Arabidopsis thaliana: one gene and its partner. The protein of the gene in region 2 binds, or shares a complex with, the protein of the main gene of each other region. Each region holds a gene or a part of one and is shown on either strand. Other genes may lie near its edges.

Region 1 (17,378 bases), 1.7 Mb from region 2:
TATATATATATTATGTCGGTACGTTCTACAACTCTAATCCCACTATTGATTTATATATTCCAGTATACATCGACGATATCCACGACGGGCATTCTTTCATTCGAGGATGAGTTTCTGTTTTAAGAAATTCTTAATTAAGATTTGTTTTCTTAATTATTATGTAAACATACCAAAAGTCCTTCATATATATGTGATTTTGTATTCACTTATTGTGATTTTTTAGATCACTCAGTTTAAAATGATTTAGACTAAACGTGGTAAAAACTGTTTACGAAAACTCTTTGCATGCGTTTTAACGATCAATAGACATTTCATTATCGGTAGATCGAAGGCAAAAGATAGATGAATATAGGAATCTAAAGCACGTTATAGCAATATTATATAGCAAGAATCTCTGTATTTATACACCTCGGTTCTAGCAATCAGGGAACATGGTCTTGGGGAGAACATGAGTACAGTGTCGTTTTACCTGAGAAAATTAATTATTACTTTCGGGCTATAAGTCCAATATAAATTCCTAAGGTTTTACATAAATAATCGCTCATGTCAAAGTTAATTTGGATTACACTCGAATTTACTCTTCCAACACTGACTTATGAATTTGTCTTTATATTCTTTTATTAATATAATCAGGTATATCTATACATACTTGATAGTTGATACAGATCAATTTCAGAACATGCAATTCAAAAAATATAAAATAAAATAAAATCGTTTTATCAGAATCGACAAAAATATTTTGGTCGACGTTGATGAATTGATTGTTTTTTTCTTCTATGTTTTTTTTTTAATTATTTTTTTTATCACAAGACTAGATCATAGAATTTACTTCATTGTAACTCCTAACATTTTTATTTTTAACAAAATATTTATATTCTTAACAAAAAAGCATTCAATATAAGTGTAAGAACAACAGCATATGTTAAGATTGAATAAAAGTGTAACACACATGAGCAGTAACATGGGTGGTCCAGTTACAGTGTGTTTTCTAGTTAAAAATCAAATTGTAATCTCCTTTTAGTTATTGAGAATAATTTATGCACCAAAAACATGAAATCCTATTAGCAAAAATTAAGACACCAGCAGCTGAGTATTGACCATCATTCTCACTTTATTTGGCTATATCACATTATATATAGGGACTTGTATAATTTTTTCTAAAAATACTTAATTTTTAGTTGTATATAATAAATGTCATGAATCCAAAGTCAGATCTTACGAGCAACCATGTCGCAATCTAAATAAGAGTTAAAAACTACGAAATTGGCCCAGCCTCGACCACAACTTGCAGTTGTAGTTACAACGTTATGGAGAGAATATCCACAGTTGACAAAACTTTTTGAAATACATGCGCGTGACATATATACTACATCCACAAAAATACATGCGCGTGTATGTAGTAGGTTCACATATAAATGTGAACGTGAAGGACTAGCTAGTGTATAATGTATGGTTATAAGAACTTGTAATTTATAATTCCATTTCATGTAATGTTAAAATGTTCAAGGACGTTAAGTCGACACGAAGACTTGGATTACATGGCGGTGGCTACGTTTGACTCGATCCCCTTTTTTGTTTTTTTTGAAAGCTTATTTTATGTCAAAACTGTAATTTTGAGAATTTTTTAGAAAATTATTTGTTTTGTTTGCTGATATTAATTTAATAATTTAAAATTAATATGAGAATCATACATTAATAAATGTATTGCTCTTGTGGTTTGGAACCGAGAAAATATCTATGATGCGTTAAGAATTTACTTGATATGGTTAATAATTTCATACAATGATAATTTACCAACCGAAAAACCTCATTGCGTAGAATTAGACAAAAAAGAAAGATAGTTTTTTTTTTTTTTGTAAACAGAAAAAAGAAAGATAGTTATAAAGAGTTGTGTAGATACAAAGTTTTCTATATTCTATGATCTTTGAGCCATTACGTACAAGAAAAATAGAAAATACAACTAAACAAAAGTTTCAAAATTTATACTTCTCCCTTCCTAATCCAAGTTTTTCCATACACAAGCTTTCCCAAAAGCTGAAGGTTATACATAAAATTACCGATCCGTTAAGGCTAGCTAATTTCACTCTATAATGTAGGCTAACATTCTGAAAAAAGCAGATAATTATCTCAATTTGATATCTTCAAGTGACAAAACCTTAGAAACAGATATATACACCAAGACAAGACTTTGGTTTGTTAATCTCCAAACCCTAGTTCTACCAAAAAAGCCTTTTAGAACTCTGTTTCAACAACAATGAAATGGCCCATAGCCAAATGATCACCTACTATACGTATTGTTTTTCTGAGATTGTTTTTCAGCTACCCTCAAAAGCATATTACAAATTAAGCCCGAGTATATCTCTCAGTATTCAACCTTCCTTCCTGATACGATTGATACATTAAATCTTCAGTTTTGGTAATCTTCTCTGCTTCTTCATAATTTCATATTCTTCCGATACTCACCTCCACGCTATCTCCATACATTTGATATAAACTTCTCAAGCCAAAGAAAACTTTGATATGCCATGCAATCCTCTTCATGCATGTCTGATCAGTTTTACATTCATGTAACCATGTAGACTATAGGAACACCAGAAACTATTTCTGCTTGAATTACTTTATCAGAGTCTAAGATCAGTGTTTAAGTATCATGTTGTCTATAGAATAGTTCATATTCTCCTCCACCCATTTCAATCTAAACAATTCAAAATTTTATTTAACAAATTTTAAATGCACAACTGTTTTCTTTAGTAATATAATTCTTGGATCAAGCGGAGATGTATGGGGAACGTGTGTGACACGAAGCTCGATGATGAACAACTTTCCAAGTTAACTTCTTTGCCGCCTACCTCTGAACTCAAGTTGCGTAATTTTTTCCATTCTAGCTCACCAAATCTATAGTATTTTCGTTTTTTTCGTTTTTGACAATTTATTATCGTTTAGGTTTCATAATACTCTGACCAAAAAGAAGGCTTCCGTAATGTTTACACAATTAATGAAGTAACTAGATTTTAACCCGCGGTGTACCGCAAGAACAATATATTTTTAAAAGTTAGTATACATAAAAGTTTGTAAATTGTATCTATCTATAAAATATTTTTATTTTATAGTTTACAATTGTTATTAAGTAACGTCCTGCCAAACCCCTCCCGCCAATCCGTCCCGTAAAAAAACCATTTATTTTATTAATATTGATCTTATTTATAATATGTTTATGAATTATTGTCTAAATATTTTGTAATTTTATAGTAAGTAAATGCTATCATATATCTCTGCGATTTGATGATTATAATCGAATTGTTATAGTCATGGAGAAAAGCAATATCAAAAATGATAATTTTGTAGTAATTAAATGATATTAAATATTTTGAAAGTTTTATTTTAGGAACTAATCGTGTAGTTAATGTGGAGAGATTTAGGGAACATTGTTAAATGCCAAATATTTAATTCGAATATTTTTTTTTTAATTATCAAAATCAAACATTAAAATCCAGTGACAGCCATTGTAAATAAGTCTCAATTACAGGATTTATTTCACAAAATGGCTGTAAAAATGTATATGTACATTAGTTGTGTATAAACATTAAAATGCTGTTGAAGTGGCGGTGTTATGGTAGCGAGGGTCTATCTTCGTTCTTGAGAGATGAGTTTTTTGTTTGCCTCTAACAGTTGGCAATATGAATAGGAATACGAGGCTTAAGCTAAGAAAGTGTTCAATTCATAGAGAATTGGATTTCGCATGTAAACGGCCTAAATTGTATTTATAAATCTCTAATAAATAAAAAACAACTCTTGTGATATATCACATTTTTCTTTTTCTTTTCATGTAGAAAGGAGTTGAAAGAAAAGTAGGAACAAATATGCTCTTTCTCTGACACTCCCTTTTTGGAGAAGGATCTACACAGGCCAGAGATACTAACAGGCTCTCACACGTGCAACCGTGATACACGTGCGTCTCACTTTCTCTGAATTGTACAAGTTCAAGTAACGAAGCAAATCTCAATCGAATCCAAAGACAAGGACCTCCACGTGGGATTCTTGAGGAAATCTTCAAAACGACTGAATAACCAAAATAAATAATGATCTGTAGAGTACACATATTATTACCCCTTAAATTTGTACTTAAAATTTATCGACTTTCTTAATTACATGAAATGATCTATAGAATTTCATATAATCGTGTATATCATTCTTTGTATAATAGGTACAATAACACAAATTCATAAATTTATATGCAAATATAAGGATCATCCATCGGCAGTGAAATCAAAAGGGCTCCAACTTCCAAACAAGAGATTGGTGGAATCATTGGATTCGTCAGCGAAATGAACCACCGGTTCGTGTACAGCCTGAACCGGAGTCACGCCAACGTCTACATGGTTATGACCAATCAACAAAGCATCAGACCAAACACCATTAGTGTCTAAAGAGAGAAGCTCTTCACCAGGAAATGGAGGCAAGCCATTATAACCACATTCCTCCACAATGTGTTCCACCGGATTAATATAATGATCATGATGACCATCATTGATGTCCATACTCCATGAAGGGTCCATGGAAGTGCCGGTAGGATTATCTACCAAAAAATCCGTAGTGGCTAAGTCGCAATTTTCTTGTAGTATAGATTCGTCAGGCTTTGGATTCAAGAAATTGGCGTAAACAAGAGCAAGATCGATGCTTGGTGAACCACCACCGGGGTTGCCAGAATTAGCGGTTAGGCTAGTTTTAGTATTGTTACCAGAAGATGATTTGGGGCGGCGGGATTTTCGACAGCCACCGCCTACAGGAACATTGCGGAGGGAACCACCTTTGGTCCAATATCTGCGGCAGCCTTTGCAGAAGTAGCGAGGCTGAGTGAGGCTATAGTTGTTGTAGTAACAGAACTTTGTGTTAGAGGATCCACATCTTGGACAACTCGGCGTGATCTCCGCGTTTGCGTTTGCGTTTGGCCGCCATATAAACGATGATGTCAAGGCCTCTGCTCTCTCCATATCTCTCTCGCTCTTCTTTAGTCTATCGGAATACGAATGTATTATATACGCATGCATGAATGTGTGGGTGAGAGTTTGTGCATGTGGAGAGTTTGAGACGCGTGGAGGCTAGAGAGTGGATGAAGTTTGGGGGAGCAAATGCCTCGTAAGGGTGCACTCACTGTTGCTTCTTGGGGGAGACAGGGTTAAGGGTTTTGAATCTTTGATAGATATTTAAATACTAGTATTTGTTTTTTTTATCATAAGATATGAATAAGAAAATAGATCGTCTTGGAGATTGTTTCGAAGGGAACTAAGAAGCCTATGGCCTCTTTGGAGAGATGGGTTATTGGGTGTACATTGAGCTATTTGTACGGCTTAGTTTATGGATGCTGCACGATTAATATATGTCTTTTAAAATTAATAGAATGTACTTACAATCATATTAAGTAAAATATTCATATCAATAAGTACTAAACCATGAGTTATCTATATTGCAACATTTTCTATTCACATTATATTCGCGAGAGGACGATGAATATTTGGCCAGAGTCGTTAAGAATCAGAACTTGTAGATAACGAATCATAGATAGTCATAATTATATAATAGTATATAGTATGAAAATGGTATGTAAGGTATGCGTAACGATCTGTGAATAGAAACTATAGAACGAGAAGGTGAAACAAGAAGACACAAGTTTTGAAGAACAAGGACTGTCTCTATTTGTCTACTTATTTGACTTGAATTTATTTGATTTATTAACCCACAGAAAAATGGGGATTGGAAAGGAAAATCTGAATGGGATAAAGAGCTTCTTGGATCATGTAAATATTGGCAATCTCCAAGAATTCTATGTAGTAGGTCTTACGTTTTTCTATATATTTGTATTCTAAAATTCCTGAAATTAGATCACCATCACACTACATGTTGGTTTTAGAGTAATAGCTTTACTTCTCACCAAAAAAAAAAAAAAGAGAGCAATAGCTCTACATGAGAAACTCTTTGCACATTGCACAAAAAAAGAAACTCTTGCAAAACTTGTTGAACATTGACGATAAATTTTGTTTTAGAATATATAGTAACATTCATCAGAAAGTCTTGCATAAACATGATGAACAACAATGATACAGATTGTTATATAGCATATCAAACATTCGATTTGCTATTAGTCCTACTAAGTCTCCATTGCGTCACTCTCATCAACAACCATCTCAATTTCATTTTCATAACCCATTTTGCACTTGAACTCTTTCAGATTCGCCTCCCACACACTATAACTCGAGTTCTTCGCTTTAACATCCAAAGAAACCTCCTTCTTCGTCACCAATGTATTCGCATAACTCTCGAATGGAACAATCTTTTCCCGTAACAAAGATCTCCTCTGGGGATCACTACTCTCTTTTCTCGCCTCATCCAACCACTCTTTTGCTTGCTCAAGCTTAGCCCAAAAGCAAGTATCTTGCGTTGTGCTCGCGTATCTGCTTCTCACACACTCCTCAGGCACTTTAACTCCTTTCTGCCATTTATCAATCACCTCATACCTTTTAGGTCTATTCCCCTCCAAGTAATGCCCGCCAGTCTTTATATCTCTGTTTTTGTAGAAATTCGCAATGTCGAGTGGCTCGGCTAAGAGTTGATAAAATTGAGATGCGTAAATCCATTTCTTTCCTAAATGAAAATCAAAAGGTAACTCATTCGTCTCCACCATTTTAATCACTGTGTCCCAAAACTTAGCTAGTCTTATGCGACTCATGTTCACTTTAAAGTCTCTCTTCAACGAATATCGTTTGAAGAAATCGTAGTAACCTAGCTGCTCTTCTGATGCATCGCAACGATCTTTGTACCATTGAATCTCGAGTCTTGCTGGCAAGACACTAGCAAGCTCATTGGCTAACTCAGCTGACCTCAGAATAGGAGCCCGAACAATTCTTGTAGCTGTTTCTATACATTCTTTGACTAAAACGCCACTTGTGTCATCGTTAGAGAAACCTAGAGCTTCAACGGCTAACGCAACACCAGCTTGGTAGCTATTGTCGGGGATACTCCCACCAAGAAAGCTTCTAGATTTAAGAAACATGTGTGAAAGTGTGAACACATAGTGTCCGTACCTCTGATGTTCCTCGGTGTTTTGAGTTGCTGTGGTGTTGAGGATATTAAACATCAGACGAACAGAACCAGCGTTGTCTAGACAGACACCTCCTTTGTCGGAACAGAACAAGTAAGTTCCAAAGGGCCAGAATTGTTCATTGCTGCTTCTAGGAACGAGGTCGTGGATGGAGACCACGTGGCAGAAGTTGTGTGCTAAACGTGATCGTGAAATTGAGGTGGAGAGAGATTGGTTTCCGAGCAGAGGAGAGCCAAAGGTGATACAAAAGACGCGGAATGACGGCGGAGAAGATTGAGATAGAAGCCAAAGTGCGGTGAAAGCGGCCAATGCGCCGCCGGTTGAATGGCCGGTTATCACCACCAGCTTTTTACCTAACAATTCCAATTCCAATCCTTCCTTGATCTGCACGTTAATGCAGTCGACGTTACTGTAAATTGGTTGACTAACAAGAACAAAACTGATTATAGATTACCTTCCTTCTGAGTGTACAATTTCCTCTAATAATGTAAACTGATTTAGAGACTAAATTTGCCAATTACTTGGTTTAACCAAATTTGAATAAAAATCAGTTAAGACACCTCTCTAGACTTACCATTTTTACAACTTATATCTACATTAATGGTCACTTCTTGTTTTTTCTACTCATCAAAACCAATAGGAACTTGTTTTTGTTCAAGATTTTCATATCCTTAGAGACAAAACAAAAACTAAAAGTATTCGACGAAAAAGGGAATAAAATACATGATGGTGACACAATAATCATGGGTTAAAAACTTTTTGAGCGCACATTTATAAACTTCGCCGAGGTGTGTTAAAGCATAAAGCGTAAAGCTACCAATTCCATTAACATTTTTTGTTTTTTTTGGTGTCAAAAATACCAATGACGTTTCACTCACTAATTAGTAAATTTTTTAAATCACTTGGGCGGACGGACGTGATGGCATACAAACCAAACTTTCAATTGACTTGCTTATGATATCCAAAGGTCGCGACAATGACATATTCCAAATGGTGGATTTGGAATAATTGTGTCCACGAATCTTTTTAGAATTTCTTACAAGAAAATAATTTTTATTTATTATCTATTGTCTATTGCCTATTGGGGTAGGTGGTGGTGATAGTTTATAATAATCTTTTAAAAGGACAAAAAAAACCTCCATTTGGATTATAATTCATCAAAATTCAGAGGACAGAGATATTTAAATAAAAAATAGTAATGATCATCAGTTCTACTAAAAAGTACTAAAATACGTAAAAAAAATAGTAACTTTAATAGGTAAAATTCGTTTTCGCAAATCCAAACGAATAAAACTTATGATAGAATTTTGTTTTTTTTTAAAATCCTTTGTGAAATAATTTCCCATATTAGCATTTAATGATTTTTGTATTTTTCTCTCGAGGTATTATTAATTGAAATTCAAATATCCACATGCCTTGAAGATAATAAATAGGTTAAATTGCATCCAATAGAAAGAAAAAAAAACAGAGGAAGAGAAAACAAACCTTTAACTGAAGAAAGAGTTTGAGTATGGCAGCGTCGACCATAGGTAGAGGTTCATCGGAGGATAAGCCGGGGAAAAGAACATCTCCGGTGACTGGCAAGCCCACAAGATTCCCCAACTGAATCATCGATACCGCCGGTATAGCAACGTATGTAATCCCGGCGATGTCATGGATCTTTATACTCCCGTTGCAATTTGCGGTGTTGCATGAACTCCAAGAATCGGTAAATAAAGGAGTCGATATCATTACCGAAGCTTGCAACTCACTCGTCTCGAATCGACAATCGTCCATGATTGGATATCGAGTAGAGAGTTGCAGAACGATGATGTTTATGAAGTTGTAAATATATTACAAGCAAAAAGAAATTATCTATGTATCTTCTTGGCTTGTTCCTATGTAATTTCTTGGTTTTGGTCTTTGCTAAGTCGTCTTCTTCAAAGTCTCTTACTTTAACATCATAATTTAGTAAAATTGTACTGGTTTTATAAAATAATAATAAAGAAATGCTGTGAAAGGTAGGTCCATTCTCATTTTTTAATCATTGTGTGTAGAGGACAAAAAAATATGTAAATATATAGTAGAAGAAAATGCGAATCAAAGCATGTGATCCTATGTAATCGGAATGGTTTAGACTTGAGCATAAATTGACAACTTTTGATATGCAGAAACTTTGGTAAGAGTTTATCTATCTATCTTTCATGGAAATTGCAGAGAAATCAACCTACATTTGACTCAGACATTTTGAAGTTTTTTTGGCTAAGCTTTTAAAAGGAACCAATTACTTTCAGTTTCAGCTTAACATGATATAGTTATACAATTTGGCCCATATAAGTCCTACAAGTTAGACCCACCATGACTTGAGGAGATTTTTAAGTTGTGGTCTACCTCTACTAGAGAGATATAGATACTTGTTAATGAATTTGATAATTTACTGTTTGGAAAGGTTTATATCTAATTTAACAAAAAAACAAAGCATTGAAAGGTCCATGCCATTGTCATCTTTTAATCTCTGTTTGGGATCTTTGTGGAAAAACCTAGAGTACAAAATGGGGCAAATTATCAAAACAAAACAAAAAAGGTTTGAAGAAGAAATATCTGATGATTAGGACTTAAGCATGTATTAGAAAACTCTTGCCTTAACAAACTGATAATGATAAAAGAGATAATCTGAATCCTAAATGTCAATGAAACTATCCAACCGGACAATAATCATTGCAAAGCTACCATCTATAGTAATTTTCATGTAATTTTCTGGTTTTGATATTTTCCTGAATTGGAGTAAATATTCAAATTAAACAATGAACTTCTATAACCAAGTCTCTCCATTAGAGACTAGTAGTACATTTTCTTGGTGTTTTCTCATATGATGAAGTCAGTCGTCGTCCAAAGTTTTCTCAACTAAATGATGTTAAACAATCAATCTGACACATCTTTGTATCACCACATGTTATCGTCTCCCTATACTTATTTAGCTAATCTGCTTTATCTATAAAGCAATCTTGTAATTGTCAAGTTTGATATTTTGCTCTAACATGCTTCTTTTCAAGAGATACGTATAATCGAATCATAACTTAAAACAATTTAAGTACTTATCGGATTCCTAATCTCTTCTTCCACCTTAATAATACAGCTCGAAACTTTATACAAAATACGAAAAACGGTGTAACAAATCATGTATGAATATTGATTAGATTAATGATTCTGTTATGCGATTGAACTACAATAACAGATTCAATATAGCAGACTTTTCCAAAAATTGATGACAAATAAACGATCATGACTCAAAAGAAATTGCTCAAACTGTTATGATTAAGAACACATGGATTCATCAGTTACATGAAATGGATTGAAATCAGTAAATCTCTTTAATCTGATAAAACCCTAATTTTACAAACCCTCTTTGGATGTGGTTGCAGTAGCGGCGGTGTCGAAGTCATCGGGGTCTTTGGTTGGGTCAGATTTGTCGATTGAGGAGCGGAATTTATCGAGGAAAGGCTTGAAAGCGATCTCTATGGCTAACCATCCTAACGCCATCGCTGCGACCACCACAGTCGCCTGTTTCGCTCCCGAAGTTTTTCCCATCGCTGCGTCGTCGTCTTGTTCGCGTGTCGGTGGTATCAACCGATGGTTTAAGATCGGGAGATGGGTTTTACTAGGATGTTTAAAATGGGCCGGTTTGGGCTTCTCATTGGATAAAGATAGTTTGTTTGTTAAACTATGGCCCAACTTTTTATCCGTCTATTGGTTAATTAATACAAACTTTTTATATAATTGTAAATATAATTGAAAGGATCCCTATTTTATTTTCTTGGGAATATATATATGGAAAAAAACAATCAATAGAATTAGATAAATAGTTCAATATATCAACAATTTCTTTTTTGTTAGGATAAGGAACTTTTACCTTTTTTCTAATATAGTTACAAATTGTGTTTTTTTTTTTCTTAATTTATTATCAAATTTCTTTTTTACTTATATATAACCTCCTTTTTCATATAGAGTTATTAACTTTTTCATTTTCTCAGTAAATGTATTAACAAATTTAGACTTAATACATGAAGACATCTAATATTTTTATTGATATGTGTCGTGAACTCGTGACATGTTAGTTAGTAATTTTTATAAAAAAAATTTAGATAGGTTAAAATTATTTGATATGTGTAGGGGTGTCAATGGGTCAAAATTTATTGGTCAACTCAACTCAACCCATAAACCCTAATGAGTTGAAAATTTTGACTCAAATGAGTTGATGGGTCAAATGAGTTGATGAGTCAATTGGTTTGATGAGTAAAATGAGTTGGGTTGTAATGATTAATGGTTTCAATGGTTTACCCAATTAACCCATCAAGTTTTGTAAAATTGAATTAAACCAACTAAAATTTCTAAATCAATGTCAATTTAAGTCTAACCAACACATCTAAACCAATTTAATAAAATTAATATTTTTCCAAATTTCTTAAATATACATGCGATGAAATTGAGAAAAAGTAAACTCGTAAATTTTCCACCAAAAAACATAAACCCGTGATTTTCCCGCCAAAAACGTAAATCCGTGATTTTCTCGCCAAAAACGTAAACCCGTGATTTTTCCGCCAAAAACGTAAACCCCTGATTTTTCCGCCAAAAACGTAAACCAGAGATTTTCCCGCCAAAAACGTAAATCCATAATTTCCCGCCAAAAACGGAAACCCGTAATTTTTCCGCCAAAAACGTAAACCCATAATTTTTTTCCAAAAACGTAAACCCGTGATTTTCCCACCAAAAACGTAAACCCGTGATTTTCCCGCCAAAAACGTAAACCCGAGATTTTTCCGCCAAAAACATAAACCCGTGGTTTTCCCGCCAAAAACGTAAACTCGTAATTTTGACGCTAAAAACGTAAACTCGTAATTTTCTCGCCAAAAAACGTAAACTCGTAATTTTTCCACCAAAAACGTAAACCCGTGATTTTCCCACCAAAAACGTAAACCCGTGATTTTCCCACCAAAAACGTAAACCCGTGATTTTCCCACCAAAAACGTAAACCCAAGATTTTCCCATAAAAAACGTAAACCCATAAAAAGTAGAATCCGTAAATATCCTAAGTTTGATGATAATGAATTAATAATGATAATTATTTATTATTATTTTATAATAGTAATTAAGTAAATTATTAATTAAATGGGTTAACCCATTTAACAACTCAACCCATCAAATTAAATGAGTTATGAGTTGACCCAACCCATTTAACAAAATGAGTTGAGTTAACACATAACTCATTTAACTCTAAACTCATTTGATTATGAGTTGGGTTGAGTTGGGTTACCCATTTTGACACCTCTAAATATGTGTCTCTAGCCTCTACTATTTTTAAAAACTAAATTTTATATAATAAATTTTTTTATCTTAATAATAACCAAGTTGAACATATTTTAGTTCTAAAATTAACTACTCGGTTTAATATTAAACTTTAGACCAGGACATGCCGGATAACATGGTCTTAGTGTTGTCGTACGTCACCATTAGAGTTTCAATTTGCATAATACAAGGTGGTTGACCCAATAAAAGAAATTTGATTCAATTTCGATATAAACAGGTTTGTTTTGGTTCAGTTTTACCTATTACTTTTTATTTTGTCCAATCCCAAAACTATTATTTCAAAGACAAATTGGAGAAGAAACAAAAAAAAACTAATGGTTGGACAAAAGATTATTATATATCAATTTCACCACAAAAAACTTAGCATTAAAATATTCGAAATGGACAGCGACGAATTCAAACCTTCGTGTTAATTGTCTCCGGCGACTATGAATTCTAAAATCTTCCACTTTGCCTAAAATATCAATACATCACATTCATCCTAGCCTTATCCACTCTTTCTTGGAAATTCTGGTCTGGTTTCCCTTCAGCAATTCAATTAACTTCATCAAACCGACCGGTTCAAACAATCATCTAGAAATTCTATTTTATTGTTAGACTAGATCATGAAATTTTGACCGAGTCAGCACACATAAAATCTGGTACTTGACGTGGTTTAGTTAACCCAACAAAGTTGTTTTGGTTAAACGGATTTATTGACAAACGTGTTTCGGTTCACTCACTAAAAAACCCGGTTAGGTAGATACTACTTCATTGACAACAAACGAAGCATCCTTTAATTTCAAAACCGCGTTTTAATCAGACTTTTCCTTTTTTATTTTCAGTTCTAATGTTTAAAACTTTCCTTTTCTTTTTCTCCATATTTGACTCGTCAATATAAATACAATTGTAACAAACAGATTTTGATCAAAAGATTTTACTTTTCTCAATTCCTTTCAACTTTCAAAATCGAAGATCTCTTAAGCCATGAACGATCTTCTCTCCGGCTCGTTTAAAACCTCCGTCGCGGACGGTTCATCGCCGCCGCACTCACACAACATCGAGATGTCAAAAGCGAAAGTCTCCGGCGGAAGTTGCCACGGTGGTAACAACCTAGACACGTTCTTCCTCGACGTGGAGGTTGTAAACGAAGACCTTAAAGAGCTAGATCGTCTCTGTCACAACCTCCGATCGAGCAACGAACAGAGCAAGACGCTTCATAACGCTAACGCGGTGAAGGAGCTGAAGAAGAAGATGGACGCTGACGTCACTGCTGCGCTTAAGACGGCGAGGCGCTTGAAAGGAAACCTCGAGGCTTTAGATCGGGCTAATGAAGTCAACCGAAGTTTACCGGAAAGTGGACCGGGTTCGTCGTCGGACCGGCAAAGAACTTCGGTGGTTAACGGGTTGAGGAAGAAGCTGAAGGATGAGATGGAAAAATTTAGTCGAGTGAGAGAAACGATCACGAATGAGTACAAAGAGACGGTTGGGAGAATGTGCTTCACCGTCACCGGCGAATATCCCGACGAAGCTACCCTCGAGCGTCTCATCTCCACAGGTAATAATTTTTTCCAATTCTTTCTTAACAATTTTTTTGGTCAATTTCAAAATTCAAATTCTAAACGTTAAAGAGCAAGAAAATAGCGCAAGTTGTTAAACCTTTTTAAGAAATTGTTAGTTTATAATTTGGTTAAATCATGATATTGATATAAATTGGAATTATATTGTAGGTGAAAGTGAAACATTTTTGCAGAAAGCGATTCAAGAACAAGGTCGTGGTAGGATTTTGGACACTATTAACGAGATACAGGAGAGGCACGACGCAGTGAAAGATATTGAGAAGAGTTTGAATGAGTTGCACCAAGTGTTTCTTGATATGGCTGTGTTGGTTGAGCATCAGGGTGCACAGCTTGATGACATTGAAGGCAACGTCAAACGAGCTAACTCGCTTGTTCGGTCTGGTGCGGACCGGCTTGTTAAGGCACGGTTTTATCAGAAGAACACACGGAAGTGGACTTGCTTTGCCATTTTGCTATTGCTCATTATTGTGGTTTTAATTGTGGTGTTTACTGTTAAGCCTTGGGAGAGTAATGGTGGGGGAGGTGGAGGTGCACCTCGTCAAGCTACTCCGGTTCAAGCTCAGCCACCGCCACCTCCGGCTGTGAATCGGCGGCTACTACGCTAAATAATTTTTTTTTTGAGGTTCCCTCTGTCTATGCATGAGCATATCTATGTTTTGAAGATTGTTTTTTATTTTACAGTATTTTGTCTTTAATGTTTTTGTAATGTTTTGGTTGGTTAAACTCTGTGTATATATAATGCGATCACCACATTTCTTTGTTTTATTATGGAACGATTTGCTTATTTTTTACAATCGACTTAAGTTAATTTGACCGTCTATGATATTATTATTCGGAGAGATCTATCAAAATCGATGGTCAAAATGAATTTCCAGAGAATATGGAAATTAAAAAAATTGAAATATATATCAAATATTATCATACTTAAGTATAGATTATTTACAGTTATCTCTATAGTATTATTTACATTTATATTTATTTTAAATTATGAAACTTAGATTAATTTGTTCTCTATATAAATAATTTAGACAATTATTCTTATGGGAGTCTTTTTTTTTTTTTCACTGAAATGTTGCCTTTCATTGATACCAAATTCTTATGGGAGTCTAACAGTAATTATTCATAAATACTTTTATCTTCGTACTCCCATAATTTATCGAACCATATTGGGCCGTGGGAAAAGCCGATTAGTCATACAAAGCGTAAGAAAAAAAAAAGTTTCATTGTGTTGTGCCATTGTTTCACTTTCTCTCGCAATGGCGTCATTGAAGATGATAGGCAAGTCAAAATTAGGAATCACTCAAAATAAATTTCTTCGATTGATTCTCTTTTTTCTAATGTACAAGATTCTGTGTAACTCAACTGTTGTTTCTTTTGCTTTTCTTTTGATGTGTTTGTGTAAGATCAGACATAGCCGTTAACTTCACAGGTTAGTTGAGGCATTTCCACAAACACTTTGTGAACATGTCCTTCTCTGATCAATTTATTGCACAGACCATATTAATTCTTTAGTCTAATTGAAACAGATGGGATGTTCAAAGGACTTTACCATGGCAAGAACTGTCATGTTCCGGATATTGCCACTGTCTTGAACCGGGCTTGGTCTGCTGGAGTCGATAGAATCATAGTTGAGTCACTCCTTATTGATTCTTTTTGTTTGAATGATTACAAGTGATAGACTTTGAGTAATTCAGATTCCAATTTTCCTGAATAGGTAACTGGTGGGTCATTGGAAGAATCAAGAGAAGCTCTTGCAATTGCAGAGACTGATGGTTTGTTTGTTTTATAGATCTTTTTTTCAGAAAGTTTTTAGTCTTTTAGAAGTTTTTGATTGATGTACATTTTTTGCAGGTAGGCTGTTTTGCACTGTTGGTGTTCATCCAACTAGATGCAATGTCAGTTTTTTTGCTTTACATACTCGAGAGTTTCTTGAAATCTAAATTATAATCTTCTGTTTGGATTGTTCTTTAATGTTATGTTTTGTTGTTTATCCATTAGGAGTTTGAAGAGAGTGGTGATCCGGAGAAGCATTACCAGGCTCTTTTTTCATTAGCCAAAGAAGGAATGCAGAAAGGGAAGGTGCTATTTCTTCTGCTCTAGTAGATACTTTGAATTGCTTTAGTATCGCTTTCGTGTTGATCGTAATCAAAACCATTCACTGAACACTCTTGTACTTTATGATCGATTTAGGTGGTAGCAATTGGTGAATGTGGATTGGATTATGACAGGCTTCAATTTTGCTCAGTTGATATCCAGAAGAAGTAAGTTTGATCATAAAAAGTTTCATGTTTACATTGTTTTCTTCTATTTGAAATATCTTCCTATGTTTTCTTTGTTGAGAAAGGTATTTTGAGAAGCAATTTGAACTAGCATATGCTACAAAGTTGCCAATGTTCCTACACATGCGAGCAGCTGCTGAAGATTTCTGTGAAATTGTTGAGAGAAACAAGAATAGGTGAACATGCAGGCTAATGATTTTTCGAGTTGTGTTTAGATAAACTTCCTGGATTGATTTTTTAGTCATCTTAATCCCATGATTCACTTTCAGGTTCACTGGAGGAGTTGCTCATTCATTTACTGGTAGTGCGTCGGACCGCGATAAGCTTCTCTCTTTCGATAAAATGTACCTTGGTAAAGACTTCCACTTTTTTTCTATTAGAGACTATGCCTGTAGGCTTTAACTCGCCTAGGCGTTTGTAGGATCAGATTTGGTCAGAATATCTTGAATTACTGTTCTGGTCTTTTGTTTTGCTGATGTGTATTCTATCTGCAGGTGTGAACGGGTGCTCGTTGAAAACAGCTGAGAATCTTGAGGTAATGAAAGGAATACCAGTAGAGAGAATGATGATCGAAACCGACTCTCCATATTGTGATATCAAGAACACACACGCCGGAATCAAGTTTGTAAAGTCGACTTGGCCTTCCAAGAAAAAAGAGAAGTATGATCAAGAGTCCCTTGTCAAAGGCCGTAATGAGCCTTGTTTAGTCAGGTGAGTGTAGCTTCTAGATTAAAATCTTGTCAAATCCATAAGCATATACAGTCTTCGAACAATTCTTAGGCAATCATTTTCTTCTCCAGGCAAGTCCTTGAAGTGGTGGCTGGCTACAAAGGACTTGGCGATCTAAATCAAGTTAGCTCAACCTTGTACCACAACACTTGCAGGCATGTTTTCTCTTTTTCGGTTTCACATAATTTCATGACAGAAATATGAAGAACTGTTCTAACGTAAAACGTTGTCTTGATGGCTTGTCAATATTTCTGCAGGGTCTTCTTCCCTCAGGACTTAGATTCTGCTGCAGATGCTCTGCTTTCCGGGCACCACGAGACCGACTAGCATTAATCGTGACAGAAATTTGCAGTTTACTGGAATCAAGATATG
Region 2 (16,626 bases):
TTCATTCCAACATCATCCGAACCAGCCAAAGAGGCATTTGTCTCAGAGTATCTGACACAACTTTCAATCAAAGCATTCATCGAACTGAGTGTTCCGCCATGTCTTTCTCCAGATTTGAACTCATTTCCTAATGAAGATGTGGCTTTAACATTCCCAGATGCTTTATCAGAATCCTTAAGAGCCCCTTCGCGCTCATCACCAGCAACAACAAGTGGTGAACCAGTTGCCTCTTGCGAGCCTGTCAATATATCTTTTAATTCATTGCTTTGCCAAGACTCGGCATTCAAGACAGAGCTCACATCAGCTCGATAAGAATGATTTTTTTCTCTCCAGTTATTGTCACACAGTTCCTGCTTCACCGTATGCACAGGTGAAGAAACTCTGCTATTCACTGGTGCAGGGTCCTCCAAAGAGCCTCCACTCACACTTTGAGCAGGACTTCGACCCCGCGGCAGCTTCACAATCAATTTATTACCGGAACCCTCAGTCAGAGGAACCTCAAGAGTCTTTTCAGATGTCAAACTTGATTGAGAAATTTTCTCAGAAGGGACATTCCTGTGTGATGAGAAGCTTCTACTCAAACCAGCTCCCCTAGGGGATGCTGACGAAGACGAACCTTGAAACACATTGTTTGACTTCCGATGCCTTGAAGAGCCACCGGAACACTTCTTCAAAGTTGAACCAGCAGTAGAGCTTCTTGCATCTTCTTTTCCACATAAATTGCCTGTTTTAGCATGCTCGCTCGAGCAAGACTGACTATTATTGTGCGACTGACTGGAGCTGCTACTTTTCTCATCCTTTACTGCAGCTAGGACTTCAGATACACCACCAGCCCCAGCATTTCGCTGCTGTCCATCTTTAGAAACATTACCACCTGATCCCGGAGAAGGAGCTGATCTTGTGGAGCCTGGCGACGTGGCTACACACTTCAGGTTGTTTTCCACCTGTTGTTTGACCGAGACAGACTTAGAAGCATGTAGGTGTGATGATGATGTCTTGTTTGCCTCCGCGGAACCACCTGAATGCCTTCCCCCATGACTCAGTCTTCCAGGCCAGGAAACACCCTGGTTGGATCCAGACTTCGCATCCATTTCTGCCTCAACTCGTTTCTTCCAAGTGTCAACCAAGCTCCTTGCTTTTTTCCCAATCTCTGAATTTTTATGTGAGCGTAGATGATTAACAGACTTTCCAATGTTACAAGTCTGAAGCGCGTTGAGATTCACCGGTAGCTTATCAAGAGCCCGAAGTAAGACTAAGAGGAAATCGTCTACTAGCCTATCACTGTCTTTGGGACTGCCCCCATCCCCAACTTTCCCTTTATGAACTTCCTGCAGCCACTCATCAAACACGGGTAATCCCCTGAGCTGGACAAAACGACTAAGGCAATCAAACCTGTTTGTCGCTGCTACAAACCCTGCAAGAATCGCACGGCCAACTAAGTCTATTTTCTTTTCATTCCTCTCAGGCAGCATGAGCTGAACCAATTTTTCAACTCCTTCAGAATCCACCAGACCACCTTTCTCTGTAAATTTTAAAATCTCAGACGTTAAACCGCTTTCGGTTCTGAGGGGACCGGAACCACTGTCATCTACTCGACTAGAACGTTCCCGTTTAACAGACTCAGAACCATGATCCATACGCTCTCTTTTCCTTCCCTTACTCTGAGAGAAAAGAGAGTTGTTGTTCTGGATGCCATCTTTCGGTTGTGATGTTGTTGGACTATTCATGGACTTTGGAGAACGACCACCCTGCTGTAATGTTGTATGCATTTCTGAACGAGTCTTACACAATAACTTGTCTACTTCTAGTTGTCGATCCTGCAAAGAGGAAAAAAATGCCTTAGTTACCAGAGAAAGCCATAAATCCAAATAGAAGAAGGCAGTTGGTGATGAGTTATAATCTCACATCAATATAGTCTTGATCAGTCAGCCACCATAAGCGCTCGTTTGTAACGTCGTAAACTCGCCGACACACAAACGAGCTGATACCAGATGGCAGTTCAACACCTCTTGGAAGGAAGGCAACTTTACACGGATGCAGTAAAGATGCTGCAGGTATATTATCCTCGTGAAAGGAATAAAAGAGTTCGTTCGGCTCAGCCTCTAGAAGGATACCTTTGCCAAGTTTTAATTCAGTGGGTCGATAAAGCCAATTAACACCCAACTTCAACTTATCTTCTTCCTCAGCAATGATCAAGCGAATTATCCCAATGAACGGTGGACAATCCTGTGGTGGCTTAAACAGAGCACAGTCACCAACACTAATTTTGCGCCCGTCCTGCTAGTGACAGCAAACACCAAACAAAACTATAAGTCGAAGAGCAAACCCAAAAAAAAAAAAAAAAAAACTCATTTTCTCGAATCAACCAATAGAATCACAAAATCCAGACGAAATTTCAAAACTTTGGGCAAACCCATCCACCAAAACAGAAGGAAACACGAAAGAAAAAAAAAACGCCTGAGGAAATCGAAACGAAATCGAATAGAACTTACCTTAGAAAACGAGGTAGATGAAGATAAGGACAAACAAGAAGAACCACCACCTTCCACAGTCGCAATTACACGAGAGGAAGATATCAACATGTGCCGACGACGACTTTTGTGCCTCCGCTCACAAACCCTCCCATGCATAGCCTTCTATCATCTTCTCCTTCGAACAACATCAATTTCCTCAGCGAAAATCAAACAAATCCTCAAAATTCCTTTTTTCCCCAGACAATATTCGATACCTTTAGATCCAAAAACCCACCGGTGAAAAAAAAAAACCTAATTTCGCGACGAAATGGCTCAAATATCTAGGTTTTTTTCCAATTTCCCGATCCGCAGATAACAAAACACAGATCCAAAATCAACAACAGCAACAGCGAGTAACCGAATCAGCCTTGTTTCGATCCAGGAATACGAGAATTTTTCTTCGAGAAATCGCGTAAGCGAACAAAACACCAATAAATCGAAGAAGAGAATAGAGAGAGAGAGAGAAACGGTCGAAAAGGGGAAAGGTAACTTGGGAGAGTTCGGGCGGGTCGGGTCGGGTTAGAGAGAAATATTACTGAGTGTCACAATCAAGATTATGCATGTCGTTCTAAATATAGATAGGAAACTCATGGGTACATTTCGAGTTATTCCAACCGTTAGGTGGATTCTGAAAACGAACCATACTTTCTAACATTGCACATTACTACTCATCATGAGTTGTTAGCATGTAATATCTATCTATATAAACATGTGTTATGTTTTTAACCCAAAACCAGTTTCGCTAATATAATCATAATTCGGTACGAGGTTTTATAAGCTGAAATTTGGACTCCCTTTGAAGTTTATAACACTAGTCACTAGTGCATAATTAAGCTCACTGGACATTGTTCGTTTACTTCGATCGATTAGCCAATGTAAACTGTTTGGAAAATGCTTAGTTCAGACTTCATACTAATAATAAAGTAATTTATTTGATCAGTTGTTGTCTAGGAAAAAGGTAACACACATATGTGTATGTATATGTTTGCTTTTTGAATTTAACCTCGACTTTTGCATTGCAGCAAACAAACATACTTTTTTTAATATTCCATTTACTCAGAAATCTCTTTCTTTCATCGAGAGTGTGTGTGGCGTTACCTTTTGTACACAAGAACTGCAATTGATGTGAGATAACATATCAAAACTCTGTTTGTATCTCTGATCCATAAAAGTCTTTTTCCATTGATGCGTGTCTTGCTCTCTTTTTCAGGTAGATTCCCGAATATTATTCTGTGGGTTTTTGTTTGTTTGTTGTGTTAAGTCAGATTCTGCTCAACTTCACCTTTTCTTTTGAACCATCGTGTTGGTTTGTCTATTTCGAGTAGGATTTATTCTTTAATTTCAGTTTTTTTTCATTCTTTTCTTGATTTCATATTGAACAGTGTGTTAGCTTGTAATAAAGTCATAAAAGCTTGTTTTTTTTGGACAATTGTGGAATTAAAAAACATTCCACATGTTTCAGCTTTTCATGTTGATAATCTGTCTTCATGCCTTTGGAATTGTTAGAGTGGCTTGAAGGATTAAATCCAAATCCTTGTATTATTATTATTTATCGGTCAATCTTAGACACTAGCTTATACTCTCTGTTTGTGTCGAGTAGATCAATTGGTCTCTCTTAATGCACTTGATGTATCTTTACGTAATCTTAAATGGTTCACTGATCGATTGAAGTTATATACACTCTAAAGTATGGTAAACCATGTAACTGATTCACCATTACAAGTTACATGTCATTTCACTAAAATCGATTTTTATCATCCTATGTCATTTCATAACTTAGAACTATGTTGATGCAATAAAAAATATTGTTTAACATGTTATTTTTTTTCTTTCTAAAATTTAATGTAATTTGTTAATTAGCATTCTTACTTTTTTCATGTTGCTACCTAAGATTTCTTATTATAGTAGTAATTAATTTTGCAGGTTAATGTTCAAAATACAATAAACTAATCATGACTTAGTTAAAAACTTACCTAAATGTTGTTCAACTCTCATCTGCAGTTTCCTAGCTCCCTAATACCAATTTTCATAAGCTATTTTAACCTGTTTAATTTCATGTTTTGTTGTTACATCAAAATATAAGATAAAAATGTGTTTGATCGATTCATCAAATTGAAAGAAAGAGACACAACTTTGACTTTGTGGTTTTGATGTTTTTCTAAATCATTTAATTTTTTCTGTAACCAGAAGAAACCCAGCTGATTGATCTAGAAGCTCGCTGATATTTGTGAATCATATGAACTATCCTCACGTGTAGTCCACCGTACGCCACCGTTTTTAAATGAACAGAAGTTTCTCACACGTGTAGATCCATCACAATTACAAAACCACCCCTACATTCGAGCGTGTGCAAAAGTCAAAAGAAAGGGTACTTTAGTCAGAAGGAAAGTTCTGTGCGGAGACGAGGAGTTTCCGTTATCCCCTTATTTTATCTCTCTCTCTCTCGTTTTCTCTCACAGACACAACAAACAAAGCAAAAAAAAATAAAAAATCGCACGTTTCTTCTTCTTCTTCTCTCTCGCAACAAATCTGTATTAGGGTTTTTGAGAAATCTTCATTTCGTGATTTTGAAATTTATTTGTATTTGATTTTGTTGTTGCTTTGGAATCATCTGCAACCACCATGATTTCTGATTCGATCACCAACGCTTCTGCTACTTCAGCTCCAACCGCCAGGGATTTCGGAAAAAAGAAAAGGGTATTGTTTTCAATCCTTCCTCAAATCTCATTTCTCTCTTCAAAGATTTGATTTCACTCTTTGGGTTTGCAGACGAACAGGTCGGCCAAATTGAAACAGAGCAAGCTAGGTCTTCGTCGTGAACAATGGCTTTCTCAAGGTAAAATTAAATGATCTATCTTTACATGTGGATTTTGTTTATATTGATTTGGGTTTTTGTTGTTATTAGTTGCGATGATTAACAAAGGGGATAAGGAGGAAATGGAATCCAATCGAAGAATTGGGAGTGAAAAGCCTGATCAGAGAGATCTTCCGCGTCCGGTGGAGAATTTAGATGAGGATAACAATGGAACACATCGTCATGAGAGCTTTATTGAGTCACTTTCTAATAGCCCTAACAGTATTCTTAGTGGCATGAATTCAATTCCTAATTTTAGCAGCAGCAGTAGCAGTGGAAGTGGTGGCTCTTGCTCTGGTAATATAACAGAGGAGGAAGATGCTGATGATGATGGTTGTTTGGATGATTGGGAAGCTATTGCTGATGCTTTAGCTGCTGATGATGAAAAGCATGAGAAAGAGAATCCTCCTGAGTCTTGCCAAGAGCATGAGGATATCAAGCAATCAGCTTTAATCGGTGGAGCTGATGTGGTTTTAAGGGATGCAAAGGCGGATTCTCAGAGAAGGAAGCAAAAGAGTAACCAGGCGTGGAGGCCAGACGATAAGCTCCGTCCTCAGGGTCTGCCTAATTTGGAAAAGCAGCGTAGTTTTCCGGTCATGAATTTGCATTTTAGTTCTGTGACTGTGGTGCCATCTTCGTGCCCTATTTGCTACGAAGATCTTGACTTAACAGACTCAAATTTCTTGCCATGTCCTTGTGGATTCCGGCTTTGCCTTTTCTGCCACAAGACGATATGCGATGGAGATGGGCGTTGTCCTGGTTGCAGAAAGCCTTATGAAAGGAACACAATCAAGTTTGAAGCTAGTGTTCAAGGTGGTGGTCTGACTATTCGGCTTGCTCGTTCGTCTAGCATGTTTTGCAGGTCATGAAGAAAGGATGTGTGGCTTTTCTCGGCCTGTGTCTGTTTGTTTTCTCTCTTCTTCATTGTTTTCCTCGCATGTTCTACGTTTTTCACCTGTCTTTAAAACTCTTTAGATATGGGTATAGGGATTTGTCTTTTGGCAACTGAGAACTATGTTCTATGTTCTTCTATGTCAATGACTCTTCTTCATCTGAAACATGTGGTGGTGGTGGTGGTGGTTATGTAGAGTGGTGTGTGAGTACATAAGGTGGTACACGAATTTCAAATACATAAAAGTTGCAATAAGTCTCTTTCTCATAGCCTGCGAGAACCTTGCTTATCTGTAATACTCTAAAGGTATCATTTTATGTCGTCTGTTATTTTAAGGTGGCCATAGATGTTATATCATTCTACTTGATTCTATGTTGAGCGACTAAATACAGCATATAGACAGTCAAGTTTGGTTATATATAAAATTGACATTCGCGCGAAAGAGTTGAAGATTACTTCTATTGTCTGATTCTTTTGTGAATGATCTACTTCCTCCTTAGCTATATGGTATGCATCCTTGAGTTGATTATACTGATGCAGGATTCTGGTGGAACGCAAATCTAACAGGAACGTCTTGGTAATGTGATTACTCTTTTATTTACTTGTGTTTAGGAGACATACTTGAGTCAAACTTTCATATCGAGCTAACTAGCATACAGAGGGGCATAGGGCAAGTTTCAAATTTTGTGTTTTAATCGTTTTCTTCTTTGGTTATGTAGTAGCTAGAACTTGGAGCGTTTGCACAGCCACTTGTTTTGAGGTATAGAGGTTAGTAATGTTATAAACAATTGAAGTAACCTCAGGCTCTATTCTGATGACATTCTGGTCCTCTTTCCTTCTGTCAACACTAAGGAAGATTGTTTGTTACTGGTTCATGCTATTCGAGATGGCTTTAGGCTTTAGAATAATGTATTTATTCTAAGATCATTGTAAAGTGGAAACCAAATTTGACATTAGAATAGAGAGCTATTACATTACTTCACAATGATCATACAACATGATTCTTATTCTAAGATCATCGTGAAGTGGAAACCAGATTGATAAACATTTCTTATTGCACAAATTAAGAAGCAAGTGTTTCAATAATCGAACCATTTAAGGTTCAGGTAGCTCTTGTTTCATCCATCATACGCTCACGTGGATACAGCGGAGCATGTATTTTGTGACTGTCAGGAAGTGTATTCCACCACTTTCTAAATGTTGAACCCTCCAGAAATATTTCCTTCTCATCTACTTCCCCGTCTTTGATCCATCCTTCAAGCAACCCTTCTAGTGTCTTGAATCTTACCTGAACTTCCTCATATGGCTTTCCCTTGAGTTCTTCGACCTCAGCCCAAAAGCATGAACCGCACTCGGATCCCGAATTCTTTAAGATCTCTTGAATGTCTTGCTGTAATCCTAAGTTAAGACCATTTACCTTGCTCCAAAACACATCTTTTGCGATCATTCCAGTTGGCTTTAATATATCATGTTCGTACCCTCTCTGAGCGTATTTGTAGCGGCTTGGTCTTCCATGTAACATGTACGGCCCTGTGTCTTCGTTCTTTAACTGCCCATGGTAGTTTGAAATATCAAGAGGTTCAATTAATCTGCGGTATTGAGTTGCTAAATTGATCCAGCCTCTGCTCCCCTCGAATCCATCTGGAAGCTGACCTTTCTTCACTAAACCAAGCACCTCGTCGAAAATACCGGCTAACTCCACTCTCTTGACGTTTGCTTTGAAGTCATTCTCTTCATTTGAATCTTTGAAGGAATCGTAATACCCATTTTTATGAGCTTGACACTTTGGCTTGTATACTTCCACTATCCAAGTTAGTCTTTCTACTATTTGATCTCTTTTGGTTTCTATCTTCTTCTGATTTTCCACTCGTTGCTTCTCAGCCTCTAATGCAGCATGAATACACTGTCTGGCTCTTGTGCTCTGCAAAAAAGGAAACATAAATAAGGATGGAGCTAATGAAGCTGCACAAATTGAAAAGAGAAAAAGATTTACCATTCCAAGGTCGTCGAGAGCGGAGCCTATTGAGTTTTCTCCATCCAAAAGCGGATTATGCAGATCCAAATGATTAAGCAACTTAATACCAATGGATTGTACCAGTTCCTCATAGCCATGGTGATCTCTAATGCTTAGAAATGGAATCACAGACAATTCTTGTTCGTCGTTGGACTGACAAGTGTAAAACAACATTTGAAGAATGGCGTCTGAGTTGTTCACTACAACCAATCTTTTCTGTGTAGAGAAGACAAAAGTGCCTACTGGTCTATAAGGACTTAGCTCATAAAAACTAGAAAGAGTTTCTAAAAACGCTTCTCCGTTTCCAATCAACTGACAGACAGCTTTGGAAGCAACAGTATATGTGTCTCGCATCACCCTTGTGTAAAATTCTGTTATCACCTGGTCGCTCTCATGGATCGGAGCTCTTGTAGAATCCAATTTGCCAAGAACGTAAGACAGGGTTTGCTCTATCGTTGTCTTCCGAGCAAGCATAATCCGAGGGACAATATCGAATCTTGTAACAAAGTTTACGAAAAACCGGCTCCAATTCTCTCTCCCAAGCGCGTGTTTAAAGATATAGTCACCAACCAAAGGAGCTCCAAATGTCACACAACGAGGCTCAGGGGCAGCATAGGCGTCACGTATGAAGTATGTCTCCAAATACCAAACTGTTGCTAGAATTGCAGTTGCGCCTCCGAAAGAATGTCCTGTGAACACAACCTGTTGTTTTCTATCAACCGCGCTTTGCACCTGAAGAAAGTAAGTTTCAGACACAAATTATTCTGATGTTTTCGATTTAAAACGCATTTAAGAAGCTTTTGTTTACTTACAGAAGCATGAAATGAGGTTCTTGGACCAATGAGAACTTCAAGTGACTTGAGGAAAGCTTCGTTAACAGTAGTGTCAACGTCGTTGCCGATGCTTCTCATACAAGGAAATTGATTACGCTTCATCTTTATTTCTCCAAAGGGAGATGTATTCTCCGTAGCGAACAAATCTTCCGACGAGAAAGATGCTCGGAAGGCGAAAAAAACGGTTCCTCCTACTTCTTCTTTGAGATAGTGCTCCGTTTGGTTAGCTCCCTTCGACGCCATCCATGATATGGTGACTAGATCACCGTTGACTCCCGTAAGAGCTTCAAACGCCATTTCTCTTTTCTTGAGTGGACTTTCTTCTCTTTTTTCTTTTGAGTCGTCTTGATTCTTAGTCCTCCTACTCTGTTAATATAGTAGGAAGATGTAGACAGGAGTAATTACCCAAAATACCCCATCATGAGACCATTTCAATCTAAGGAAGGTTGTTTGTTACTGGTTCATGCTATTTGAGATGGCTTTAGGCTTTAGTAGAGTAACGTATATATTCTAAGATCACTGTAAAGTGGAAACCAAATTTGACATTAGAATAGAGAGCTATTACATTACTTCACAATGATCATACAACATGTTTCTTATTCTAAGATCATCATGAAGTGGAAACCAGATTGATAAACATTTCTTATTGCACAAATTAAGAGAAGCAAGTGTTCTAATAGCTTAAATACTCCACCACCTAAGGTTCAGGTATCTGTTATTTCATCCATCATATAGTCTCGCAGAGGAGAATGCGATTTGTGATTTTTGGGAAGCGTAATCCACCACTTTCTAAACGTTGAACCCTCCAGAAATATTTCCTTATCATCTACCTCCCCGTCTGTGATCCATTCTCCAAGCATCCCTTCTAATGTCTTAACTCTTACCTCAACTTCCTCGTATGGCTTTCCTTTGAGTTCTTCAACCTCAGCCCAAAAGCATGATCCGCACTCGGATCCCGAATTCTTTAGAGTCTCTTGAATTTCTTCTAGCTGTAACCCTAAGTTAAGACCATTTACCTTGTTCCAAAATACATCTTCTGCAATCATTCCGTTTGGCTTCAGTATATAATGTTCGTAGCCTCTCTGAGCATATATGTAGCGGGTTGGTCTTCCTCTTTTCATGTACGGCCCTGTGTCTTCGTTCTTTAAATGTCGATGGTAGTTTGCAATATCAAGAGGCTCAACTAATCTGCGGTATCGAGTTGCTAACTTGATCCAATCTATGTCCCCTTCGAACTCATCTGGAAGTTGACATTTCTTCATTAAACCAAGCACCTCGTCAAAAACACCGGCTAACTCAGCTCTCTTGACGTTTGCTTTGAAGTCATTCTCTTCATTTGAAACTTTGAAGGAATCATAATACCCATTTTTATGGGCTTGACACTTTGGCTTGTATTCATCTTCTATCCATGCTAGTTTCTTTAAAAACCTCTCTTGCTCGATCACCTAAAAACCACAGAACCAACAAGTTTTATGTTGTTAGACACAAACAGACGAAGCACGTACCTGCATTATTCATGAACAAGCTTATCAACCACAAACCTGAATAATCTTCTTCTGATTCTCTACTCGTTTCTTCTCTTCCTCTAATGCAGCTTGAACGTACTGTCTGCCTCTTGTGCTCTGCAGAAAAAGGAAACACTCTGAAGGGTTTAAATGATTGCAAGAATGGAGCTATGGAGCTGCACAGTATGAAAAGAGAGAGAGAGAGAGACTTACCACTCCAAGGTCATTGAGCGTAGACTCTATTGAGTTTTCTCCATCCAAATGATTAAACAACTTCTTTCCCATCGACTGTACCAGTTCCTCATAGCTATGATGATCTCTGATACTTCGAAATGGAATTAGAGACCATTCTTGTTCATCGCTGGCTTGAGAAGTGTAAAACAGCATTTGAAGAATGGCGTCCGAGTTGTTCACTGCAACCAATCTCTTCTCTGTAGAGAAAACAAAAGTACCGGCGGGTCTATAAGGACTTAGCTCAAGGAAACTAGAAAGGGTCTCTAAAAACGCCTCTGCGCTTCCAGTCAATTCACAAACAGCTTGGTTTGCAACAGTTGATGTGTCTCGCATCACCCTTGTGTAAAACTCTGTTATTCTCTGTTCACTCTCTTGGACGGAAGACTTTCTGGGATCCAATTGGGCAAGAACATGAGGCAAAGTTTCCTCTACAGACGCCTTTCGAGCAAGCATAATCCGAGGGACAATATCGAATCTTGAGACAAAGTTCACAAAGAACCGGCTCCATTTTTCTCTCCCAAGTGCGTGACTGAAGATAGAGTCACCAACCAAAGGAGCTCCAAATGTCACACAACGAGGCTCAAGGTAAACATTTGGATTGCGTATGAAGTATTTCTCCAAATACCAAACTGTTGCTAAGATTGCAGTTGCACCTCCTGAGGAATGTCCTGTGAACACTATCTGTTTTCTACTCCTCACAGCCATTTCCACCTGAAGAAGTAAAAGCATAAGAGACCAAAAAAGAAAAAAAAAGAAAAATATATTCGGATGTTTTCAATCTTCTTACAGAAGCTTGAAATGAGGTTCTTGGATCAATGATAGCTTCAAGATTCTTGAGGAAAGCTTCGTTAACAGTAGCTACATCACCTTTACCGATTTTCCTCATACAAGGAAACTGAACACGGTTCAACTTGATTTCTCCAAAGGAAGATTTATTGTCCGGATCGAAGAAATCTTTCTCTGAGAAAGATGGTTGGAAAGCGAAGATTACGACTGCTCCTGCTTCTTCCTTGTGATAGCGCTCGGTTAGGTAAGCTTGCTTCGAGGCTGACCATGATCTGGTGATTAGATCACCATTGATTCCGGTAAGAGCTTCAAACGCCATTGATCTATATCTATTCTCTTTTCTTTAGTGGACTTTCTTCTCTCTTTTTTCTTTTGAATCGTCTTGCTTCTTTAATCCGCTCCTACTCTGTTAATTTATGGGAAGATGTAGACAGGACTAATTAGTTACCCAAAATACCCCATCATGAGACCATTTCAATGCAAAAATGGGTTTTTTTTTTTGGAGTTGACTCTTTGGCTATTGGAGACTCATGAAGAAAGAAAAGCTAGGAATCTTAGCTTTCCACGTGTCGGTTTTACATTGGTGTATGGCTTTGTACATCCGACATGACTGGAGTTTCGCAGAAACTTTCATAAACATTCACATTTGGTCGGAAAGTTTTCTCTGTGTAATCTTTGCTTGGAAATTTTGTAGCTTGACTTTGGAGTCTTCGTCTCTTTAATATAGACTCCATCTTTTGGTTTGAGATGTCACTCTCGGTTGGGATTTCGCAGTAACTCAATGATATTCACTTTTTTGTCGGAAAACAATTTTGTTGTTTAATGAATGAGGAGATTTGTTCGCTTGGAGTTAAGTTTTTGTAGCTTGACTTGGGTTTTCAGATTTGGTCTCGTATAGAAGAAATCTACTACTTTAACTCTGTTTTGCTTATAAATCTTATCCGGAAAGTAAACCGGATAATCTACAAGATATGGAACCGGTTCGATTTCTCTCAGCTGAATATTAACCGAATTAACTAACTACACCTTCTTGCCTGGTCCGTTTTTGCGTTCGGCAAGACGCGTCACATTCGACTTTTACTTGTTTGATTATGAAGTTACATGAACCGGACTAGAAAAATTTAGTTTGTTTTTTTGGCTAAACCAAATTGCATAACCATATTTTGCTTTCAGATAGAATGAAAAAGCCTAGGAGACTAAATTAACAAAAGAAACAAAAAAAAGTCTAGGAGACTAGAATTTTCTTGGTCTTAATAAAACCCAACTTGGGGAAATTTCTACGAAAAGCCATGTAAAGTGTTCCAACCAACGCTTAAAATAACTAACTTATCTCGCTGGATTCGATTCATGTAGACAGCTTTATTTTAATTAGACAAAAGATTAGCTTGTCTTCGTGTAATGAACGGTACTAAACTACTAATCCATTCCTAAATCATTATTTAAGTAATCTTAACAAAAGAAATTCATATGTTAACTTCCAAAATAACACACCACCATTTTACATATCTCTCATGTAAAGAAAAAAAAAATGTATCTCTTCTCCTCTCTAATGAATCCAAGTCTACAATTTACATTTCTATCTTATAAAAACCCATCTTTGTCACTCTTGATCAGTCTTGGTTCTATCAGCAAAAGAAGCCGTAATGTCTCAAAAATTGTAAGCCGAAAGAATCAGGACATGCATGTGTGTGAATCTTTGAGCTTTTAAAGAACATATCGTACGTGGAATCTGATAAACTCAGATCTTTGCGCGTTTTAGCTGCGAGTAGATATCATTAGCTTCAAGCTCTCTCTTGTGCATAATATTCTTAAAAGCTCTTTCCTCAGCTTTCATTAAAGAATCTCTTAATCTCTTCACATCAGCTAATTTCACAGGCTTCAATAAGAAATCTTCAGCTCCTTCTTCAAGACATCTGAATAAATATAAGGAACCAAATGTTAGTGATCTAATTCCATAAAGTTTATAACTTTGGATACAGAAAATGGCCAGCTCATATATGATAATCATTAAACTTAATCTGGTAAAGAGGGTTTGGTTCCTTAGTAATAAGCAAAGGCATGTGAGGTGTCTATCACGAGGATTGGGATTTTATAAATGACCCTACCTAAGATTATGCAACCCAAACAATTAAAACATATATTATAAAGTTTTGGAGGGCCTAACATGTCACCGGCTTATATAGAATCAAATCTCAAGAGAAGATCTTGCTTAACTTATGATGGATTATTCTTTTCTAAATTTATGGCCACAAGATAAATTTTATTATTCCTAAGATCCATTTTAAAAATCATTTTAGGACCCACTAAAATAAACACCAAATCTCAGCTTGATCAAATATACAACCACCACCAAAGTTAACCCCATGATAGTTAAAAAGTAATCATATAATAACCTTTTCTATCATAACAAAATCTTGTGATTATACAACAATTTAATTTAGTCAATACATATCCTTTAACGGTAACTTTATCACAAATCCTAAATTAGTGTGATTACTTTAAAAAGTTTCCTAAACAAACAATACCCTCTAAATCTAATCATCCCCATCTCCTGAAGTAATAAATGCACAAAATCTACTATATTTGGTAAATTTTGGTCCTACATAATCTTGACCTAAACAAGAATTAAGGATCATAGTTAAGATTATTATAGTAGAATATACCTATCGATACGAGGCAAGATGTTCTCTGAAGACATAATCACAACTGGTATTTCTCTGAAAGCTGATGATTCCTGTTAAAAAGTTCAAAATCCATAAACAAGATTAGATCAAAACTTCATTTTTTTTTAAATTTTTTTTCGTCAAATCAGAACTTCATTTTAATTTTGTGAAAACAATTGAATCATCAACAAAACTTACTTTGATCTTCTTCAGTAGTTCATATCCAGTCATCCCAGGCATAGAGTAATCCGTCATTATCAAATTAATCTTCAGATCCTAAAATATAATTTCAAACCAAAAATCTTTTAACACCAAATTTGAATGGATTCTCACTCTCAAAAATATTAAACACAATGATCAGATTTATTACCTCAAATCCAACCGAACTATTATTCTCTCCATCTAATCCAAGATATTGTAAAGCTCTTGTCGCACTATCGACAACAGTAACTGAGACAGAACAAAACTAATGTCAGATTCTTGTACTTAAACAGATTACACAAGATAAACAAACACAACACTTTTTTTTGATAAACACAAACACAACAGTTACCTTTACAAGATGAGACTCTGAGTAACCGCTCGATGAACTTCCGATCAACCATACTATCATCAACAGCAAGAACATGAAGAAGTTTCGGTGATGCTAATGAAGAAGTGTCGTTAGAGATATCTAACATCTCGGGACGCAAAACCTCAGCCATATCAAGAAGAGTAGGATCGTGACTCGTGAGAGAGATAGAGAGAATCAACTATGAGGATTTGATTTTGCTGAGAGATGAGAGGAGAATAAATGGATTTATAAAGGAAGAAAGAAGGAGAGGGAAAAGAGAAAAATATGATATGGGGAGAGGATTCTGAGAGATCTTTGCATATCTGTGGGATTTTGTCTGTCTGATAGCGCGTGGCTAATTATTTGTTTATTCTGTTTTCTTCTCAAAAGTCATATTTTCAAATTTTGGCTAAACTTCAAATAAAAATAAAATCAAAGTCATAAAGTTTTTTAATATTTTTTTTGTTGAGAATAGTCAAGTAATGGTGAGTGGTGAAATCATATGATATGTTTGATTTGGGAAGGGAAATAAAATCAATTTTGGATGAGGGAAATCGTATCATGACGATCTCTCTCGATTATTGTTGTCAAGATCATGGCTACTTTGATTCATTTCTTTTTATTTTTGTACATTTTCGATACTTTCTTGATTTTCCCATTTTTCAAGAAATGTACCACAGAGAGAAGATTTGTATTTCAATCTACAAAATCTTTGAGATTGTTAATTAATTAATGAACATTGTTGGAAAAGTTAGCTGACATGTGACCGCCAGATTGACTATTTGGGCGAATGAATTTCAATGTTGATATCTCTAGTTGCGCAATCAGATAAATTCAAGATCCGTATGTGTATATTTCTAGAAACAAAACAAAAAATCATTATTTTTCAAGTTATTGTTGTTTGTCCATCTCGTAACTGTACCATAATAGTTGCCTCTACTATCGATCGTGGTCGAATGGCATAAGATTGATGAGTTAATAGTAAGTTTTCATGAGTGTTCAAAAAAAAAAAAAAAAATAGTAAGTTTTCATGAAAATAAAATTTCAATTCACTTTTCTTGAAAAATATTCATATGTTTACTTGAATTTTAATTCGCTTTTTCTATAAATTTGGCGTTCTTTTATTCACATATTTAGCAACACGCATCGAGTATTTCCACACGTGAGAGATCTTTTGACAATTGATGGAAGGCTTTGTCACGACAGGATCGAAGATCTATGGACTAAACTCGACCAATATATTTCAAGAATGGTAATGACTAAATCATCATTGAAAGCTGAAAATATGACTATGATCGATGTATCTCTAGAGGAGATATCAAATGAATGTGAGGTACTAGGTGTATAGAGCACATGACCTTACTATATATGTCAAATTTGGTTTGGCTTGCAGAGAAACGGCTCGGATTTCTCCATGATGGTTGTTTATCAGTATGTATATGCGTGTCCCTTCAGAGTAAGTCTACACGTTTTCTCTACTTGTATATTTGGAAACAACATGAGTTTACCGATGAAATTATTGTTTTAATATATATGAGTGTTTTGGCTATGTACATGAGTCCGAGCTTAGTGTCTATCATAGTCAAAGATCACAAGATACATTTATAGAACTTACTATTGTTTGATCAAAGAAATTAAGTTAACAATTCATAAATAAACCTCTTAACAGTTTATGGCAAAAAAAAGAAATGCCAGTAAAATTTGTTAGGCACCAAAACATTCTATAAAGAATAATCCTAATGGTCTCGGTTTTTACCTCTCAAATAGTATGAGAGGCTG

Evidence for each region.
Region 1: AT3G48080 (region 2) and PAD4 share a complex: the UniProt entries of both Arabidopsis thaliana proteins name them as parts of the nuclear complex.

The regions. Positions count from the first base shown.
Region 1 is NC_003074.8:19,423,060-19,440,437, reverse strand, and holds PAD4 (alpha/beta-Hydrolases superfamily protein), read right to left. Parts: upstream 9,344-17,378; 5' UTR 8,873-9,343; coding exon 8,582-8,872; intron 7,481-8,581; coding exon 6,146-7,480; 3' UTR 5,988-6,145; downstream 1-5,987. Other genes in the region: AT3G52440 (Dof-type zinc finger DNA-binding family protein), read right to left, coding at 4,248-5,048; OEP7 (outer envelope membrane protein 7), read right to left, coding at 10,469-10,663; SYP122 (syntaxin of plants 122), read left to right, coding at 13,406-13,976, 14,149-14,603; AT3G52390 (TatD related DNase), read left to right, coding at 15,255-15,280, 15,402-15,427, 15,525-15,625, 15,713-15,770, 15,850-15,893, 15,997-16,077, 16,189-16,259, 16,343-16,453 and 4 more.
Region 2 is NC_003074.8:17,745,743-17,762,368, forward strand, and holds AT3G48080 (alpha/beta-Hydrolases superfamily protein), read right to left. Parts: upstream 9,449-16,626; 5' UTR 9,404-9,448; coding exon 9,086-9,403; intron 9,006-9,085; coding exon 8,253-9,005; intron 8,181-8,252; coding exon 7,362-8,180; 3' UTR 6,721-7,361; downstream 1-6,720. Other genes in the region: AT3G48060 (BAH and TFIIS domain-containing protein), read right to left, coding at 1-1,817, 1,906-2,280, 2,493-2,630; AT3G48070 (RING/U-box superfamily protein), read left to right, coding at 5,136-5,210, 5,283-5,349, 5,419-6,229, 6,456-6,555; EDS1 (alpha/beta-Hydrolases superfamily protein), read right to left, coding at 9,811-10,551, 10,648-10,728, 10,825-11,556, 11,633-11,950; RR5 (response regulator 5), read right to left, coding at 13,370-13,544, 14,295-14,365, 14,493-14,570, 14,665-14,744, 14,848-14,998.